Linked DNA regions of Schizosaccharomyces pombe. Changing the gene in region 3 together with the main gene of any one other region gives a genetic interaction. Each region holds a gene or a part of one and is shown on either strand. Other genes may lie near its edges. The genes, in order: pof5, ssm4, hmo1 and naa35.

Region 1 (3,874 bases), on a different chromosome or scaffold from region 3:
AGAGCCTTTTGAAAACACTTTTGGCCCTAAATCTCAAAGAAAACGCCCCAAGATCTCATTCGATTCTGTGGCTGAATTGGCTAAAGAGTCTGACGAAAAACAGAACGCTTACGAAGAGAAAATTGAAGAGCGTATATTGGCTAATCCCGATGAGTCTGATGATGTTATGCTTGCTGCTCGTGATGCGATTTTTAGCAAAGGACAATCTAAACGTATTTGGAATGAGCTTTACAAAGTTATTGATTCTAGCGATGTTTTAATCCAAGTGCTTGATGCGCGTGATCCTGTAGGTACTCGTTGTGGAACCGTAGAGCGCTATTTAAGGAACGAAGCTTCTCATAAGCATATGATTTTGGTTTTGAACAAAGTTGATCTTGTTCCTACCTCTGTTGCTGTAAGTCATTTTTGTTTTTAAAATCTATTTGCATTGTTTTTGATACATGGAAAGATCAAGCTATATGCATCTGTTATGCATTAGTTCTATTTAATTGCTGGAATAGTATTCAGTATGCCCATTGTTAAGTCAAGACTCTTTTGTATGCTTTTCAGCATATTTCCCGTCAATTGAAGTCTGTTACAACTCTGGGAGAGTATACAAACTGTCTCTAAATTATATAGCCGTTCTGGCTATATCAGAGATAGTTGTATTGTCTTTGCTTTAATTTCGGTGTTTCAAGCAGTATATCGCTGCATATAGTTGTCACACTTACAAATGTAAAGACTTACATTGTTTTCATGTATCAACGAACAACCAGATATATCTTTATTAACCAATGTTCTTTTTTCTAACTTTTTTAGGCCGCCTGGGTTAAAATATTGGCTAAAGAGTACCCAACCATTGCTTTCCATGCATCTATAAATAATTCCTTTGGTAAAGGGTCCCTTATTCAGATTCTTCGTCAATTTGCGTCTTTACATTCTGACAAAAAACAAATTTCTGTTGGGTTAATTGGTTTTCCGAATGCCGGAAAATCAAGCATCATCAATACTTTAAGGAAGAAAAAAGTTTGTAATGTTGCTCCCATTCCTGGAGAAACGAAAGTTTGGCAATATGTTGCACTCATGAAACGAATTTTTTTAATCGACTGTCCTGGTATAGTCCCACCCAGTTCCAACGACTCTGATGCAGAGCTTTTATTGAAAGGTGTAGTCCGAGTTGAAAACGTGAGTAATCCAGAAGCATATATTCCTACTGTACTCAGTCGTTGTAAAGTGAAGCATCTTGAGAGAACATATGAAATATCTGGTTGGAATGATTCGACTGAATTTCTTGCTAAACTTGCGAAGAAGGGAGGCCGTTTGCTCAAAGGAGGTGAACCTGATGAAGCTTCGGTTGCTAAAATGGTATTGAATGATTTTATGCGCGGTAAAATCCCTTGGTTTATTGGACCTAAAGGCCTTTCCTCATCAAACGATGAAATCAATTCTTCGCAAAAAGTCGCTACTCAGCAAACTGAAGGTTCTGATCAGGATGGAGAAGAAGCAGAAGAAGAATGGCATGGAATTTCTGATGATGGTAAAGCTGATGAGTCTGAAAGTACTAAACCAGTAGCCGAGGGAAGTGCTTCTGAGTCTACAGATGAAAGTGCTGTTGATGATAATAAGAATAGGAGTTAATTGGGGGGTTTGGTTTAATTTATCATTTTTATGGTTGGTCTTTGTATATTAATAATAATATTGGTTTACTAAATATAATGTGATATGTATAAGAGTTGCTATTGTTCTATAGAATTCTACCTGATGTATTGTAAACGGTTTGTTAGATACAATACTTTTGCAAATTGTTCATCAATATCTTGCGTCAAATCTTTTTTTTTAATTTAAGCGTGGTACTGATTCTGCTTGTTCTTCTCACATGAAGTGTTACCATTTACCACCATTTTATGTATCGAGCAATGCAAATTACTAGTCATATAAGGTTATTTGGCAGTTACCGTTTAAATTATTTGTAAGTTTAGATATTTAAAAAAAAAAAAATTGTTTGAAGATACCAAGTTATCACTCAATTATTTGGCGTCGAAGACTGAGGTTTTGCTACTGCCTAACACCATTGTCAGTACATTAGGACAAGGTTATTGCCAAAATTTTAATCGAAAGCTTATACACTTAAATTAACTTTTGGGAGTAATGATATCTAGTTTGGCCTTACCGAAAGATGCAGTCGTTTCCTCCTGAAATATGGCATCACATATTCGATCATTTAATAAGTTTTGACAAGTTTGAAGCAAAAAATTTTGGGGGCTTGCTAAGGATTTGTCGTTCATCATATGTTGGAGGCCTACATGCTATTTATTATTTTCCAAAGCTTAATCCCCGTAATTATCATAAGTTTGTTGACACGATTAGCCGTAAACCTACAAGAAAATTAGTGCATCACATTAGTTTAAACAATGTTTCATATGCATCAAAAGCTTCTATAACATCCCGTCTATTGAGAAGGTGCGCTACGAATTTAGAAACATTTTCAGGTCCGCAGTCAGGACTTGGTTTTACGGCCTTAAGAGCATTCTCTCAATGCCAAAAATTAAAAAAGATAGACCTGTCTATCCTTTCTGAAAAAATTGATTTACAATATCTATTTGGGGGTATTCAGCATCTCAAGCATCTTGAGTATATCATATTACCCTATCTTTCAATTCCTGCTCCTATGTGTACTGAATGCTGGCCAAGCTCTCTTACCTTTGTGGGCTTTTCTGGTGGCCTTACTGATGACTTTTTGGCTGAGTCTGTTTTTCCCCCATCTTTAAAAAGTATAAACATCACACAATGTCCGCTATTGACCGATGCAGGCATTTTCTCTTTGCTTTCAAAAATAGGACCTAATTTGTCTTCAGTCTGTGTGCAATACCCAATGCCCGAATTGTCTCGGAGCGGCTTAGATTGCATTTTTCAGTTATGTCCCAACGCTACAACTATTAGCATTCCTGCTAATTACATTACCTCTACCGCCTTTGAGAGCATTCCTGAGTCAGGGCATAATGTTCGAAGCTTAGAAATTACTTATTCAGGGAGCTTATTGACCAACATCAGCCTGATCAAAGCTGATGATCTGGTGGGCGCTTTGGTCGATGGGAAGCTTCCCAATTTGCATCGATTACAATGGTCTATTCGTTTAGGATGGAGAGAGGAATCTCAGGATGTACAGGACTTATTAGAGCTAATTGATGATCAAGATGGTGAGGTATTTATAACAGTGAAATGAAGTTCATGATGTTAATGTTTTTGTTTTAAGTTGATGTTACGAGAGAAAATATTAATAAAATTACTTTCAAAAGTCTCTAGCAGACATATTCATTAATTTTAGAAATTGTTTTCATTAGGATTTTTGCTTTTTATATTTATATAATTTTTTCATCTTAAAACTACTAGTATTCATTTTATGATATTTTTTGGTAAACTTTCTATGTTGTTTGGGTTTGATTATAAAAGCCATACAGCCCATTTATCCTTTAAATGAATCCCGATCTAAATAATCATCTATACGGTCAGCTATGCGATTGATATCTTCTGTCGCTCCGCCAAATTGGAAATCGCTTTCAGCAGTTCCAAATCCTGCTTCGATGTCAAATGAAGTTCGGTCGTTATTTGAATGTAAAGAATGAGATCCACGAAGAAGGACTTCTTTGAGAGAAGGTGATCTTCGAGGTTCATTATCAGTTGGTACCTTCAAATGATCTTCCACGCTATGGTTATCATCACCTTCACCCGAAGCGATTGTCGGTACAGTCGATTCAACGATGGAGAAACTGCGATCACTAACTGAAGGTGTTCTAGTTGACATTAAAAGTTGCTCTGGATCAGCATTATGTTGGCGAAGGACTTCTTGAATGGGTGTTTCGGGTAAAATCTCAGAAACTTCACTCAAAAGTATGAA
Region 2 (4,616 bases), on a different chromosome or scaffold from region 3:
CGCGTTTCTTCATCTTTCGTAGAGCTTCTTCTTTTTTTTGTAGATTTAACTCTTAAAGTACAATTTTTCTCGTGAACAGCATCACGAGTCGAAATGGGAAACTGGAAAAGGTTTTGGTCGATTTCCATTTTCTAACCCTTTCTCTGCAAGAAGGTGAAGAAACGCTTGATACGCTTTAATAGAAAAAAGGTAACAAAAAAAAATAATATCGCTACCGTGCAATGTGAAACAAGCAGTTTCCCACTCTTAAAGTGGTTGGTTTAGGGTAAGTAAACTTGTTTATTTACATGATTCTCACGTCGACAATTAATCTTCAAAGTCGATCTAATTGGCCAAAAGTACGTTAGTTTAATACAAACATGAACCAATCAAATACTCAACCCCATATTTCGTTAATGCATAACAGGTCACAAAAGAGGTTACAAGTCGATCTTAAACTTAAAGCAACACCATACAGTACATTAATGATAAATTCGTTAAAATATGGCAGTTAAGATTAGAAGCTAATTTTCGGCGGCTATTAATAAATTGAATTATATATCTCATTAAAAGATTAGCATTTTTTGGAAAGAATGTCTGTTAACTGACAATAATTAAATAGCTGTTGATTGTGATGAAAACTGGGTCGCTCGATATCTTTTTTCCAATTCAAGGCCAGCTGCTTTTCTACTGAAACGGGTTTAATATCTGCAACTAATTTTCTTATCTCCTTGCAGGCAAAGGTCAATGGGCTTGGAATTGAGTTTTCAGTATTAGAATCCCGTAAACTGTGTTTGAGCCAGTCTATATTTTCACTAGTATTGTCACCTTGTGGATATTTATCGGCCAGTTTCATCCTTGCGGTCTTTAGCTGTTCTCTTAAATTACAAAGATTTTTCTCATACTGTGTCTTTAATGTTTCAAATTCTTTCAATGTTCTAGAAGTGATTTCAGAGTTAACTTCATTCTCGTATGATTCAATTTGTTCTTTTAAACGTTGGTTCATTTCTGTAAGGTCGTCTTTCATACTACTTTCCTCCTCCACTTGTTTTGATAGTTTCAATTTTGCACTGTTTAACTCGTCTATTACAATATTTGCTTTCTCAAGTTTTGCATTTAATTGCAATAATTCCTCTTGAGAGTCTGATAAGCATAGTTTCAAATGTTTAACTTCTGTCAAAGCAGGTTGAGAAGATATTAGTAACTGAGATAGCCTTTGAGTTTCCTCTTGCACCTCATTTAACTTTTCCGATTGTCTTGCTTCTATTTCAGTGTTTAGCTGATTCAAAGTTTCCAAGTCTTGAATTTCTTCTGTTAGTTTTAATACTTTATGAGACAACAAAGCATTTTCCTCCAACAGTTGCCTTCTTGTCTTCACACCATCCACTGAAGAGTTGTTGGACTTTAAGTTTAATAATTCTTGATAAACTGTGCTATTCCAATGTACAAAATTTTCATTTGTTAATGAAAATTGTAAATCCAAACTTCCCGGTACAATATTTAAGTATCTATTCACGTTAGATATTGTCAATTTCTCAGAAAACGGGTTTTTAGGAATTTTTACAAGCTCAGTTATGTCGACCTGAACCTGTTTTAATTGCAAAACCTTAGAAACCTCTGAGACCCCAAGGAGACTAGATGGTGTAACTTGTGTAGTCCAGTTGTCCTGGCTTTTAGGAGTTTTGGAATTCAAACTTCGATCAGAGTACTTATAATTAGGAATCTTTCGAATTTGCAACTTTCGCTTTCTTAGATACTTTATTTCTTTCTGCATAGCCAAGAATTTTTTGAGAAACTTTTCACGCCTAAAATTCCGAGGTTTTTCAATACTGTTTTTACTGCGAAGGAATGTCAACTGAGGTTCAACTTTCTCTAATTCCTTATTTAATTTATCAATTTTTTCTTTTAAGGCGGTATTTTCACACATCAATTCATCCAAACGACCCTTCCTTAATTCTGACTTTAAATTCTCTTTTAAATAACTTCCCTTTGAATGAGGAGTAAATTTTTTTTCACATTCCTGCAAAACGTTGTCAACTTGCCATACAAATTCCTCTTCCATAAAACTACTATCGTCAAGCCCAGACAATTTGCTCGTATCTGAGTTTAACAAAGTAGTGTCAAAACTTGATAATTCTTCTGTTGAAAAATTTAGCTCATCTAGATTTTCAGTTGTAGATGAAGTATAAAACGTAGCTGTCTTTGTGGGAGTAGACGAATCAATAGGTGTAATGCACAATGGGCGTGCCAATGATCTTTCAAATTTTGAGGGCTCCCTACGTGATTTTTGTTTAATTGCTTTAGTTTTTTCCATAAAATTTGATATGTTTTCTGATCCTTTTTTCCTTGACTTGACGACACTTGGTCTTTTCATCACATTCGAAGAGCATGCGCGTACAAATATCCCTTTTCCTTTCTCACATGAAAAATATCGTTTCCCTTTTACGCTTCCATCATTTTTTCCTTTTCCATTTAACAATTCTACGCCTAACCAAATACCACTTTCAAAATCAGTACTACCGGCAAATCGAACTATTCCTAATTCTCCACGGATGAGGACTTCATCCCCGACGGACAAATAACTCATTTGAAAAAAAAGAAAGGCTCAGAAAGTACTTGATAAAATGGTTAGAAACTGTGAGATTAGTGTGGGGAGGGGGGAACAATGTTTGCAATACAGGCGCGCTAAAATCATCACTATGTTGCACAGTTGAGCATGTTAATCACCAATGTTCAAATCACTTTTAACACGCATGTTAATGTTATTTAAGTAGAATGAAACGATTCTTGGGTGAATAAACCTATTAGTTCTTTTTGAAAGGGTGGATAGAAAAAAACAAATCTAGTCTAAAAAGCGTAAATGAATGACAAGAGCTTTTGTATACAAAAAATTAATTTAAATGATATTATTACACGAGATCATAAATCATATATATGACAGACAACAAATAACTGAAGGGAGAAAGTTAATATGCCATTGAAATAAGAAAATTCTTATCTGAACGGCATAATTCAAACAGCAATGAGCATAATTATTATTCTTCATCCTCTTCAGAGAATAGATTTAACTCTTTATTGTCATCTTGATTGTCTGTGATATCGTTATCCTGCTTTTCTTCGATAGTACGAGAAACCTCCTCTTCTTGATTTCCCTCCGCGTCACTATCCTGGTCAAAAGTATACTCTTCGGATATGACTCTTCTATTAACACGACGTTTTTTAGTTTTATTTCTGGCATCGCTCAATGGTATTTCATCATCTTCGCTTACTCCGCTATCCGAGGATTCCTGTTTCGATTTAGATTTACGCTTTTTTCGATCTTTCTTTTTCTTCTTGCCTGACTGTTTTTCTTCGTCATCAGACAAGCTCATATCATCTTCAGAAGCCTTCTGCTGACTCTTTCTCCACTCCAAAACTTCTTCTTGCATCTTTTGTCGCTCTTCCTGAAGTTGCCTCTCACGTTCTTGCTTTTCCTTAAGTAAAGCTTCTTCCTCTGCCAATCTTCGAGCCTTCTCCTTTTCCCTTTGAATCCTAGCATCTTCAAGTTTGGCAGCAACACTCTTCTCATATTCGATTTGCGCTTGAATAGCGCGCTCCAATTGACGCTTAGTAGTATTTTTAGCCATCTTTGCACGTTGTTCAATACTGGTAGGAGAATAGGGTGGATGTTCGACAGACACCAGTTTGGTAAAAGTTTCAATCGATGCGTCAAGCTGTTGCATTGCAAAGTTCAGATCCTCAACAGTTCTACTGTTCTCGGGTTTCTGACGGATGAGCTCACATAGCTGGAATTGTACAAAGGCAACGTTAAATAAAAGGCTTGGATTCTCGGGATTTTTTTCTAAAGCTAATGTAGCATATCGCACGGATTCTTTTAAATAGTCGACGTTTTTGCTTTCGCGACCACGCTGTAGCCAAACTCGGCCTAAACAGCTCAATACACCATAAGTATCACTTTCTCCGGTACTAGAATACACGGTTTCAAATACCTCAATAGCACGACTGAACTGTTTGAGTTCTGCAAGGCAATTGCCAATGTTTATGAGTGTTGTAGCATCCTTAATTGCTTCACGAACCTTACTCAAAATAAGTAGAGCTTTAGAAAATTGCCTGTTTTGTGCTAATATAATGGCAATACCCTGGGCAGCGTGTGCGTTTTTTGGATCAAATTTAATAGCTTGATCATAAGACTGAATAGCTTTGATGTAAAGTTTTTGCCTTTTTAACTTTTCACGATCATTATGTACACGAAACTCTCTTGCCTGTCTCATATAGGCATTACCGAGTTGAACTAGGGAGTAAATGTCATCGTGCCAATGTCTAAGGGTCTGAGAGCAGTGTCTAACTTCAGGATCTTCTACTGGGCGACGCTTTTGTTTACTCAAATACCAACCAAAAAATGCTCGAACCTCTAAATTTTGAGAATCTGCGTTCATGATATGACGAATTTCTTTAAACGTTTCCTCGTTAGGATTGGATAACTGAAGTAAACATTTGCGAATACGGGCATCAATAAAAGATGGATGTTTTTCGAGAATCGAAACATACGCTTCACTAGCTACAGAAGTGTTACCCAATTCTTCTTCACAACGTGCAAGATTGTAATCCAAGAGCAAGCTTAATTCAGGATTGGCATC
Region 3 (4,091 bases):
TTTTTGCTCCTCATCATTCTGCGTGTAGCAAGGAATTAATGAAGCCATTAGTCGTTCAGTGAGTGGACCACACCTAACTTCCTCAGAGACGGTATCTGCCTCATTAAAAGCTTCAAGGGATCCTTGAGCAGAGGTTTGCAGGTTTTGGTAAATTGAGTTAGCACACAGGTTGGTCATTTCATCTTCCGGAGTTAAATCGTAATAGCGTTCCCCCAAAGGAGGAATATTATAGGAAGACGAAACGTCAAATCCTTTTTTTAAAAAAGCAATATCATCATCATTGAAAGCACGAAAATATGGGTCAAGTGACGAATAAAAGGTTGATATTGAAATCTGGTTATTTGGCTTGTTGTGAGAAAAATCATCAGTCGCCGGAGTTCCTGCCACCAACGATCGTACATCACTGGTTGGAAAGGAATCTACACATAAAAGCTTCTTTTTTTGTTCATAAGAGAAGGAATCGTCAACAATGAAAGATAGTAATGAACCGGTTAGAAGATCGTTTGCGTTTTTATATACCAACCCAGTTGTCTGTTCATCTTTACCCTTAACCGGTAAATCTAATTCATTCTCAATTGTTTCCACATTTTCGGGACTGATTTCTTCATTATGGGCCTCTGAAACTTTGGGCTTCTTGGAAACTTTTTCTAGCATAGACTCTTGTGGACTTTCGGAAAGAGAACGCTTTTGCTTTATTTCTTGTTCAACGTTGTCTTCTTTAAATTCTTCTACTTTTTCTTCCACTTTATTAACCGACGATTCGTCTTTTGAGGTTTCTATTTCAGAATCGACATGAGACTCTAACTCTTCTTTGCGCTGGCGAAAATATTCTACACAAGACGGTTCACACTCAATCATTTTTTGCAGCTCAAACAGAAGCCGCCATAATGTCGACACAGACGGTACAACACCAGGAGTTGACGTTTCACTCAGACGGGAAAAGGTCTCGTATTGATTTTCAATTTTAAAACATTGAGGAATCACCGCGGGTTTCGAATCAGCTTCATTTTGTTGTTCGGAGGACATCCCAAAAAAATTTAAATCGTGAACAATACAACATTTACATATGTCTCTCTCCCCCGAAAAAATTCATTACTGAGGTGGTGATTTTTTATACCGGATTTCGATGATGGCGTACTTTTAGCGAAGTCTAGTATACCACTTGTTACATTGTTATAACGGTGCTCAGAAATATTAATCAAGAACAGCGTTGAATTGCTACGAATATGATATCTCAAACCAAATTAAACAGCAATATATTTTATTCATAGTGAATCCATCGCAAAAGCAATATGCTTTGCGAAGTATTTTGAACACTATAAGTGATCTTTGGTTTGTTTAAAATTAAATTTATCTTAAATTTAATAGTTTCTAAACCAATTGGTCTAGCGCAAGAACTAGATAAACAGAGTTGCAGCTTCACAAGATATCATGAAATAGATCTACGAGTCAATGGAATAGGATTTGTTTATACTTAATTAAGAGGTAAATATTTACAAGAAAATGTTTTATCATTTTTTTTTTTTAAATTTTGGATGTTTTTATTGCTATTCTTTCCATTTATGGGACATTATTTGACTGTAAGTCTCAGCAAATTTAGTGGATTGAGATTAGAAAAAGAAAAAAAAAAAAAAAAAAAAAAAAAATTTTTCTCGGTTGTAGATTTTCTCATATTTTCCTATTATATATTTAATTTACTACAATTGTCTTTTGTAATTTTCATTATATCACTCAACAGAATCACATGAAGAAATATCTCACTGAACCATCGTAATTTCAACAATAACAATTGTCACATATATTAAATAACTATAAACTGTAATAATAATAAAATGTGAAGAAAGCTCAACCGAACTGGTGGGTTTAACTGAAGCAATTTCATCTGCTTCGCATTTCCAGCATTAACCAACCACCCACCGTCATAACCGCTAAGATTTAAATTCCCGCCATCACCCCGGTAGGTCAGCCACCATTTCCTGTATTTGCCATCGTATTGAAGCTTTAGTTGTATTAGAAACTTTGAATATTTTTTAAGTAGTACGATGGCTCAAAACTCAACCCAACTGGAAAAGGTATGTGATATTTTAAAGAGTTTTGGTGTTTTGAACCAACATAATGTTTTATGATTCAAAAAATTGATTTAAATCAAGTATTTACTAAAAATAATCTTTTTTAATTGGTTGAAAAGTTTGATGATTAAATGCAAAATTTTCTTTAGTTATCCGCTTGGTTTTTGGTTTTTATCTAACAAATTGCCGTCTTAGATTTCTGGTTCTTTCACAAGGTTGGCGGAAGCTTTTCAGTTAGCTTTAACCGCATGCCGTGAGATCGAAGAATCACTTCCTTCGATATTAGGAGAGAAGTCCGAGGTTTCGAAACCTTTTAAGCCAGCCGTCACTGATCCATCAAATGCGAAGAAAGAGATTAATATGGCAATTGAGTCTCCTTCTAAAAAAGCAACTTCACCTAAGAAAGCTACTCCTGCAGCAGTAGCTCCTGTTGAGGCAACCTCCGCAGTCGATACGTCGGAAGCTGTAGCCTCCATGACCCCAAACAAGCGCAAGGCTAGGGATCCTGCACAACCAAAGCGCCCTCCATCAGCCTATAATCTCTTTCAGAAGAACCAACGATCGGAAATCAAGGAGTCTTTGGGCGAGAAGAGTAACGATGTTAAAGAGGTGAATAAAGCGATGCATGAAAAGTGGGGCTCGCTATCTGAAGATGATCGGAAAACTTACGAAGAAGAAGCTTCTAAACTTCGAGAAGCCTACGAAGAAGAAATGGCTGCTTATAATGCTTCTAAAGAAAATGCGTCAGTTGCTGATAGTCGAGTTACGGCTGAGGAAACTTCTACTAAACCTTCAGAAGACTTATCCTCTCCCACTAAAAAAGATTTGATAGACTTTTCAGAAACCAGACCATTGGCTCAAGCTTCTAGAGCCACTCCTGACATTAAAGAACAGCATGCTAAGAAACCGAAGCGAAAGCACACCCGTTCAACAGTACCTACAAGCAATGTTGAACCAGTTTCTCAACCTCAACCCTCTCCTGACAAAATCGTTTCTAGCCCCAATCCGCCATCAGCGAAAAGGGAAAAAAAGAAACGTCGCAAAAGCTCGATGTCTTCTTCCATTACCACTCCCCCTACCGCCAAAGTTGCTAATTGAGTTTGCTTGATAATTTCATTAATTGTGTATTTCCTTGTTCCGAACATTAAAGTTATAGGAAATGATTAATTAGCAACAAGTGTTTGCTTGTATTGCTGATTTGAGTGCTCTCTATTATTACTCAGGTTGCTAATGTCTGTAAATATTGCTTGTTAAAAATACTGGTTGTTATATAATACATAATAATCGTTTTTGGTCACAGCAGTTGTATATAAACGTTTAACGGCAGGCACATAATATCTATATTGGTTGAAATCTATTATAGCCTTAGAATAAATAATTAGCTAACAGGTAATTTTTGTTTAAGTTTACATTCTTCCAATGATCTTTCTGCTGTATACAGGAATAAATTTATCTTCGCCATAAAAAGTATCTTAATGATTTTGAGAACTTTTAATTTATTGTTATGATTTCCATTAAAAAATTTTGGAGTACTATAGAATGGTGATTGTTGTATGCACATGTTTCAAATAATGGTTAACTTTCATTATTATTAGATATTTATAAATCTTGTTTATCACAGGGTGGCTAGTACACTAATAAAAACCTATACTGACTTTTCTGCACCGTGTAACGTAACTCGTTATGGTCATGATTACCGTGAAGTAGTCCTCTTGTGTTAAATTTTCGCCGACACCACCTACGACTTAATCTTTGCAACTCAGGTAGAATGAGCGGGATTCAGGTATGTTGAACGTATTTACCATTACTAATACATAGTTTTCACCTTCTTCTGTCCCCTTACGGTATGTTTCTATAAGTAGTACCGTTTACTAACAGTATTAGCCGGGTGGAGGAGGTTCAATTTGGAATCTTGTCCCCGGAGGAAATTCGTTCAATGAGCGTTGCGAAGATTGAGGTAAGTGTTTGTTTTGTTCTTATCACTTATCGTTTTTAGTTTCCTGAGACCATGGATGAAAGTGG
Region 4 (7,515 bases), 2.5 Mb from region 3:
CTGTCTTTTTACATTTTTTATTGTTTTTTAAAGCAATTAATCAAGGATGAACTTTTATTCCTTGTTGCCATCTAGACATGATGTTAGCGCGGATAATATTACTGAAAAGTTCTGCCAATTCTGTCTTTGCTGCAATCCCTGGTATGCAGGTGCTGACACGAGGCAATTAGCAAATGCATTCAATATGATTCCTAAATCAGAGGGTCAAAAATTTGAGATTTGGGTCTTATTTCTCCTTGTCCGGCAATACCACCAAAAAATAATTAACTCTTGGTCCAAGCTGGTGGGTTTTCTTGGTGTGGAACGAAAAGATGAACAATCTACTCAAAAAATACAACAGTATGTTGTTCGTTTAAAACGGTGGATGAGTCAAACACATGTTGATGCTTTTTTCGATTATCTCCTGAATAAACCAAATCCTTATTATCTCGAAATTCCTGAAACCCAACCTCAAGTTCGATGCAATGTAAATGTAACTGATGATTTGGTTATTAAATCTTTACGTGCAGGCTTAATGTCTCATCCAGATGTTAACTCTTCCTCCATCTCCACAATGCGCACGTCAACCTCCCCTTCTAACTGGATTCATTCAGCTAGTGCTAGTTTAGACGACAACACTCACAATCTTGGTAGCTTTGTCACAAACCCTCATGCAGATTCCCAAGAATGCCCTACCCCTCAATCCCTTTTAATGAGAGCGTCCCATCACATGTCTGAACGAGGTTCTCAACAAGCACATCAGACAACTCCTCAAAACCATTCTCTCCCACATCCTCCAAATATGTTTGAACCACCTGACGAAGACCATCAGTTACCTTCCGCAGCCAACAATTCACATAACCATGATCACGCTTTTCAAACTGCTGAAGCAGTTGGCGTTGCTGATTCCATTGATCCTGACTGGCATCAATGGCCTGATGATTTACGAGACGTTTCTTCACCCAAAGAAAGTGACGGGTTGAATGATTCTTGGTCTCGACAAACCAATCAAGTAGAAACGGAAAATGTTGAAAATGAAGCAGGAGTCCCTCGTAAACGCGGGCGTCCGCCAGGAGCTCGTAACAAAATTAAACGGCTGAGATCTGAACCATCTGTGTCATTAACGCTAAGTATCTCTTGGTATGAAAGATTTGAAAAGTTGATGCATGCTCAAAATACAATGCTTCGCTCTGCATTTTCACATGTTGCTCGTCTGCCCATGGAAACGGTTTCTCAACTTTTATCACACTATACTGAAACGATATCCCAATATCTTCCTCCCTCCGAAACTTCGCCGATCCCCAAAACTCCCAATTTTAAGTTCATCTCAAGTACTCTTTTAGCCCTGGTCTCTTCTCATTCCGAAATCCTTGAAGCCAGTACCGATCGCTTAATTTGGACCGTTCATCAAGGACCATTAACAGCTACTATATGTCATGCATTCAATTTGGAAAAAGCGCCGAGTATGCACTCATTAGCAGAAGCTCAGATGATTCCCGATGTCCCTATATCTCATTCAAATTCAATGGAGCCTTTAGACACTGTTTCCTCATTAAAATTAGAAATTGCCAAACTGAATGCGGCCCTAAAAGAAAAAAATTTAGAACTCGAAAATTTAAAGAGAAAGATTATGAATGCAGTGTTTGACTGAAATCACGATTCTTCCATGCATGTATCTATTTATGCAGTACACTTTGCGACTGCACGTTCCACGAACTGGTGCAATTTCAAAGTTACAAAATTCTCATGTTCAAAAAAGCATAATTGTTTAAAGTATTTATTTTGTTTTCCTTCTCTTTATTTTATAAAAAGTTTTTAGATATTCTACTGCTAGGTGAGATGGGTTACCATCGAGATAGTTTTTTACCTTTGCAGATACAAGTAAAATAATTTCAAATTGGATTTATCATTGTTTTTATTATTATTGAAAAAATTACCATCTTATTTACTCTCGAAAATGTTATTGAACAAGCATTTTTATGCGTGGAATTTTTGTTGTGACTTACAGAGTAACACTTTTCATTAACCCATAAACTAGACGTTCAATAGAAAATTGGTCAATATAGGGGTGTTTTGTCGATTTTATGTCTGTTAAAGAGTCCCTATCATTGCTTAATTCTATGCAAGGAAATGTGAAGATTGGAAATGTGGAACCGGCCAAAGGGAACGAAGGTTATGTTGATAACGCTGGATATGTCGACTGTACAAAGTCTTACTTTGAAGCCACGAAATCTCTGAAAGAGGAACAGCTAGTATGTGATCCAAAATTTACATTATTGGATTCAATCAGTGCCTTTGAAATTATGGAACCGAAAATGGATAGTGGGATTGATTATCAGCCACTTCGTGTAGATTTTTCACGTGATCTCTCTTACTTGGAAATATTAGCGTTAATGGATTTAATTGTCTCTGCGGAAAAAGAGTGGCATTATGGATCCCCCTTATCAGAGAGCTTACTCTGTAGTGCCCATGTGTTCTCCATTTGCAAGTCGCCTATTTCACAAGTGGGTGACAGTGGCTTCTCCAGTGGTAGCGGAAGGAATACAACTGACATCGTTCTTTTCCCTTTTGTTTTGGCTGTTATTAAATGTTGCGATATTGTTCATCGAGAATTTCTGATGGGAAATTTATATGACGAGGAAGACATTAGTTCGTTTTCATATCACATGTCCTTTCTTCAAAATTACCCCATAGAAAAACTCAATTATCTTTTGCAATCTAGCATCGAATATTTGGCTTCCGAGGTTATAAAATTTTCTGCCGAGTTACGACAAATTATCGAGGGAATTCTCAATAGAATACAACTTCGAATTGGTATTTTACGAGTGTATGAAAGGAGTGATATTAAGACCACCATCGATGCTCTCCATCTGATCAAAAATTTGGTACCCGAGATTCAGAACACGGTTTCGGTAGTTGATTCATCTATCAAGGAGAGCATATTAAAGCAATATTGGGATTTTCGCGTCCAAGCCCAATTAGTTGCTACAGCTCCTGTGAGGAATATTCCTCCTACTGGCATTGAGCATTCTTATCAACGAATTTTGTATTTTGCTGATGATATGCTTTTGATTTTGAATAGCCACACTCTCGCTTCTTCCTTGGCAGTATATCAGTTTTGTTTAGATTTTACGAGATTGAATCGTACTCCAGAGCCTTACGTCCGTTCCTCCCTTCAAGCACTTATCACTGCTAACAATGCAGTTAATCTAAGGGATCAACCTACTTCGTATATGTTAGAATGTATTCGTGAGTTTTCTGGGCTTCCTTCAAATTTTTATAATCCTAACACCCGTACAGTAATCGAAAAAAACTCTATCTCATCAGCCTATGGTCCGCTAGTTGAGTCTTTGATTGCTCATTCAACTAATATCATGGTTGACCTTGTCCGAATTTGTTCCCACAATCCCTGTCGGTTCCGCCGTAATCTAATAAATTTACTTCCTGAAATTACCGTTGCTCATTTTGAAGCTGAAGCGCTTGATTTGAAATTCGTAGCAAAAAGCCTACCAAGTAATGGACCGTTTTCATCATTTATTTACCATGTTAAGCTAAATGCAATTGAGCATATCTTGCTTTCTTCCTTTGAACAAAAACTTCACCAACCATATCAATGGCCCCATTTTTTTGCTGTGCTTGATCATGTCTTTTCTATCCACCAGACTCATTTAGAGCTTCATGGAAAGGATCGTAATACCCCACCTATGGCCAAAACCTTTGTTACATATTTGCATCGAATATTGAATGCTATAAAGGAGACCTATTCTGGCTATTTACTAGTATGTATAAAGCTTATCGCTTCTTTTTTATTCTAACGATTTTAGCTGACGGTGCTTTGTATGCGGTTGAATATCATTAAAACTCCTTCATTTACTCTTGATGAAAAAATTCAAGAGTCATATTACATGGCCCATTATCGTCCTTTAATTAATTTGCGTCAACCCAAGCCACTACTTCGTTCGGAAGCTGATTGCATAATCAAAAATCTTCAAAATTTCTCTACGGATGATTTAATCATCAAATCTAATGAAAAATTCACTGCTGCAAAGAATAGCCTTATTAATGTTATAAAATCCGGTTTTGAACAGAATGAGTTCATCAACCCGTATTTCTTGCAAACCAACTATTTAAAAAATTTATTATGTTGCTGCATTACAAATCTGGTTTCACTTGCAATCTTATCCAAAGATCATAGTGCTAATCTAAAAATAGTGGAAATACCTGGAAATCCGCTCCCAAGTCTTTCACGTACATGAGGTGTTGTTCGTCTTTTATGTTAATAAATCAAAATTATCAAAAGTTAGGTTTTCAATATTTTTTTAATCATTCAATCTAATTATTGCTGACTATTTTAAAAACATTTTCCTAAAATCATCGTTGCTTTTAGGTGCATCTATCTGCATTTCTTTATCGTCTAAATCGTCCTTCTTAGAATTTATATTGGAATGATTGGAATTGAAACCTTGAAACGTTCGGCTTCCGAGTCGCCGTGGGCGTGTAGCAGAGGTATTGTAATCGGAATGATTCATACTAGATGGGACATTGTGCATCATTTCATTGACAGTGGTAATGTGTAGTAACCTGCCACCAATTTCATGTCCTTCTAATGCCAAGGATGCCTTTCCCGCATCATGAATATCCAAAAACTCTACTACAGCACCTTCATGTTCAGGATGAAGAACAACTCTATACAACTTTCCGTAGCTTTCGAATAAACTTCTAAGTCTAGCCTCGTTAACAGTCCCGTCGACATTAGTGACTCCTAGGCTTTTGCTTTTGATTTGTTCGAATGATTTTTTTGGCGTTGACATTTTATTTGACTCAGTAGTCTCAAAGCTTTTAGCTAAGGTTCGGTTGTCATTGGATGATACCCTTGTTTTCTCTAGAGATTCTCGAGGCTTCGACAAAACAACGTTCAAAACTCTATTTCCCAATTGCTTTCCAGCAGCAGAAAGTGCATTTTCAGCATCTTGATTTGTAGTCATTACCACATATCCAAAACCTTTATGTTGATTAAATCTTTTCGGTATTCGAACACTCTCAACCTGCCCATAATCCCTAAAAAATGTTTCTACGTCTTTTTCATTTACTTTAAAATCAATATTTGTAACGTAGAGTTCTCTACCCTCATAGACAGCACCGCTTCTAGGAGTTCGCCGAAGCGGGTCTGATATAAAGACTTGAATAGGATACTTCTCTTCCAATAGCTTCTTATGTAACTGCAGGGCATTGTGTGCCTCATCGGGCTTTCTCATTTGTACATAACAAAAACGCCTGTTCGTGTTATACCTTAGACTAGGAAAACGGACGTCAACCACATTACCATATGCAGAAAATAATTTGGTTATATCTAATTCATCATAAGTCGGAGGAAAATTGGTAACGTAGAGGTTCGTGTCTACATGAATTTGAACAGAAATTTCATGACCCCTTATCGATTTAAGGTCTCTTGTTTTAGCAGCAAGAACTTCACTGGTTTCAGAAAATTCAATCTGAGCCACTTTAACATCCTTTTGATTGTCTTCGAGGATAAAAATGCGTATAATATTACCACAATCTTTGAAAAAAATTTTCAACTCATTTTCGCTTATATCGGAAGGTAGATTGGTAACCAAAACTGTAAGTTCTTCCCTATTCCTGTGTTGCTCAATAGGTTTCGACTTTTTGAACACATCACCTTCTTGCCCAGGTTTTCTTTTCTTTGAAAGGGCGGCTGTATCATCAGCTTGAGGCACTTTTAGTGGTTCGGTGTTTTCGACAGTCTGCTTCGTTTCTTCAGCAAAAGAATCCAATTGACGTTTGAAGCTAATCCTCTGTGCATTTAAAACGTCATATAAATGTGATGTGTTTGTGAAACAGTCATTATTAAGGTCCATAATGGATTGATAAAATTGGAACAGAAGTTGAGGCTGATCAACGTTTTTGTAAAGGCTTTTTTTTAACGTCTCAGCCGCAAGCTCTGGGTTATACTTCATCGTACTTATGTATCGAGAAATCCAATATAATGCCTGATTTTGAAAATCATGAAACATATCAGACCAGCACTTTTCTACGCTTTCAAAATCAGAGATTTCTGAATATAAATAAATTTTTGAAAGTTCAATGCGCATTCTTGCATCCTTTGATCCCTTATGATTTTTTCGCAAATAGTCTTCGACTTTATGAATTTGATGTTTCAAAAATTCCTGTGGCTTATCTTCATTAGAAGACAAATATAGGCATGCTTTTAAAAATCCGCTAAAAAAATCAATAACCTCGTCAAAATTTACGAGCAAATTTGAATTCAAACATCGATCTTTCTCTTCACAGACAGCCGATGTGGATGCTCCAGAAAGCGTCATATAAGTCAGTTTAATGGACCAAATACGCCCAATCCATGAACAGTTACGAGTAGCTCGTTCTGCTACACTGGACGCTTGAGAAGAAGAAAAATCCACTTTACTAAGCCAGGCAGTGTATTGCAACCAGAGTTCCGGAATGAGGGGATACAAAACTATGGCACGCTCATAGAGAGTTGTTATATATTGTAACTCAGCTGTTGAGCGTCGCGATTCATCATTAATTAAATCCATATACGCTTCGAGAGAATGATTTGCGCTGTTTAACAATAGTTCTTTATTAAAAATTTTTGCATTTCTTTTAAGTGTAGTCTCATACACTTTATTGCTTTTCACCATAACATCCTCATATTCGGAAGGAGACCAGTTATTTGTGACAAACGTTGATAAAGAAGTAAACGTTTCTTCAATCTGCTCATGTGGAAGTTTTAATCTATCAATATGAAAATCATATATCTTGTTTTTAAAAACAATTTCTTGCTCTTCTTCTCCCTCAAATAGAGCATCACCGAACGTCTGTAAAAATTCCAAATATAACGTCCAAACACATTGACTCTGTAAACATTGATTAGTAAATACATTTTTATCATGAAGAAAATTTTTAGTTCCTTACTTTAGAAAAATGAAATTTGCAAGTTTGGTATGCACGTTCAAAAAGAGAATGGGCATCTGTCAAAGTAATAACGCCGTTTAATTCAGACTGTTCTTGTTCAAAAGAAGAAGTGTCCATTAAGTTTAGCGTAAATTCAAGATACATACACCAAATTTTGATTGACAGATAATCTTGAACTGCCAAATCAAACAATGTTTTTATCCTCACATAGTCGTCTAAAGTCCTACAGTTTTTGCACTCATCTAAAAGGTAATCTACCCACAAATCTAAAAACCATTAATAAATGCTTGTCAAAAGATTAACAAAGTTAAAGTAATTAGTGAATAATTTTTGCGAGTCTATGGAATTCGCCTCAACACGCTTTACCTAGACGATTGTTGATTGACATACCTTCTGAAAGTGGAAAGATCGATTGAAAAGTCTTTCTAGCCTCTGACAACTCCTTCTTTTTATCTAGACGCTTTAACTCTTCAATGAGTTTAATATGACTATCATAATTATAGGGATGTAAAATCGTAAATTTGGTCAATTCATCCAGAAGCAAAGGCTTTTTTTCGTTTTGTTCTTGTGGATCAATATCCATTT

Evidence for each region.
Region 1: mutations in hmo1 (region 3) and pof5 impair growth when combined (synthetic growth defect), as found in Schizosaccharomyces pombe (one large-scale study listed by BioGRID).
Region 2: mutations in hmo1 (region 3) and ssm4 impair growth when combined (synthetic growth defect), as found in Schizosaccharomyces pombe (one large-scale study listed by BioGRID).
Region 4: mutations in hmo1 (region 3) and naa35 impair growth when combined (synthetic growth defect), as found in Schizosaccharomyces pombe (one large-scale study listed by BioGRID).

What each region holds. Positions count from the first base shown.
Region 1 is NC_003424.3:2,731,852-2,735,725, reverse strand, and holds pof5 (F-box protein Pof5), read left to right. Parts: upstream 1-1,865; 5' UTR 1,866-2,155; coding exon 2,156-3,202; 3' UTR 3,203-3,353; downstream 3,354-3,874. Other genes in the region: nog2 (ribosome export GTPase), read left to right, coding at 1-394, 799-1,617; plasma membrane calcium ion import channel Cch1, read right to left, coding at 3,443-3,874.
Region 2 is NC_003424.3:4,534,121-4,538,736, forward strand, and holds ssm4 (dynactin microtubule-binding subunit, p150-Glued Ssm4), read right to left. Parts: upstream 2,617-4,616; 5' UTR 2,567-2,616; coding exon 554-2,566; downstream 1-553. Other genes in the region: thioredoxin family protein But1, read right to left, coding at 1-128; RNA polymerase II-associated Paf1 complex subunit Tpr1, read right to left, coding at 3,015-4,616. UniProt on the Schizosaccharomyces pombe protein: Binds to nuclear microtubules with the effect of either modifying their structure or function. This then promotes meiotic nuclear division.
Region 3 is NC_003423.3:1,587,317-1,591,407, forward strand, and holds hmo1 (upstream binding transcription factor, RNA polymerase I specific, Hmo1), read left to right. Parts: upstream 1-1,968; 5' UTR 1,969-2,042; coding exon 2,043-2,072; intron 2,073-2,213; exon of another isoform or gene 2,214-2,264; coding exon 2,265-3,167; 3' UTR 3,168-3,591; downstream 3,592-4,091. Other genes in the region: ngg1 (SAGA complex subunit Ngg1/Ada3), read right to left, coding at 1-1,026; DNA-directed RNA polymerase II complex large subunit Rpb1, read left to right, coding at 3,838-3,852, 3,888-3,913, 3,954-4,026, 4,066-4,091.
Region 4 is NC_003423.3:4,131,656-4,139,170, forward strand, and holds naa35 (NatC N-acetyltransferase complex subunit Mak10), read left to right. Parts: upstream 1-2,003; 5' UTR 2,004-2,063; coding exon 2,064-3,758; intron 3,759-3,803; coding exon 3,804-4,235; 3' UTR 4,236-4,325; coding exon of another isoform or gene 4,326-6,872; 3' UTR 6,873-6,930; downstream 6,931-7,515. Other genes in the region: ARS-binding protein Abp2, read left to right, coding at 47-1,630; RNA-binding protein Prp24, read right to left, coding at 4,326-6,872, 6,931-7,196, 7,321-7,515. UniProt on the Schizosaccharomyces pombe protein: Component of the NatC N-terminal acetyltransferase.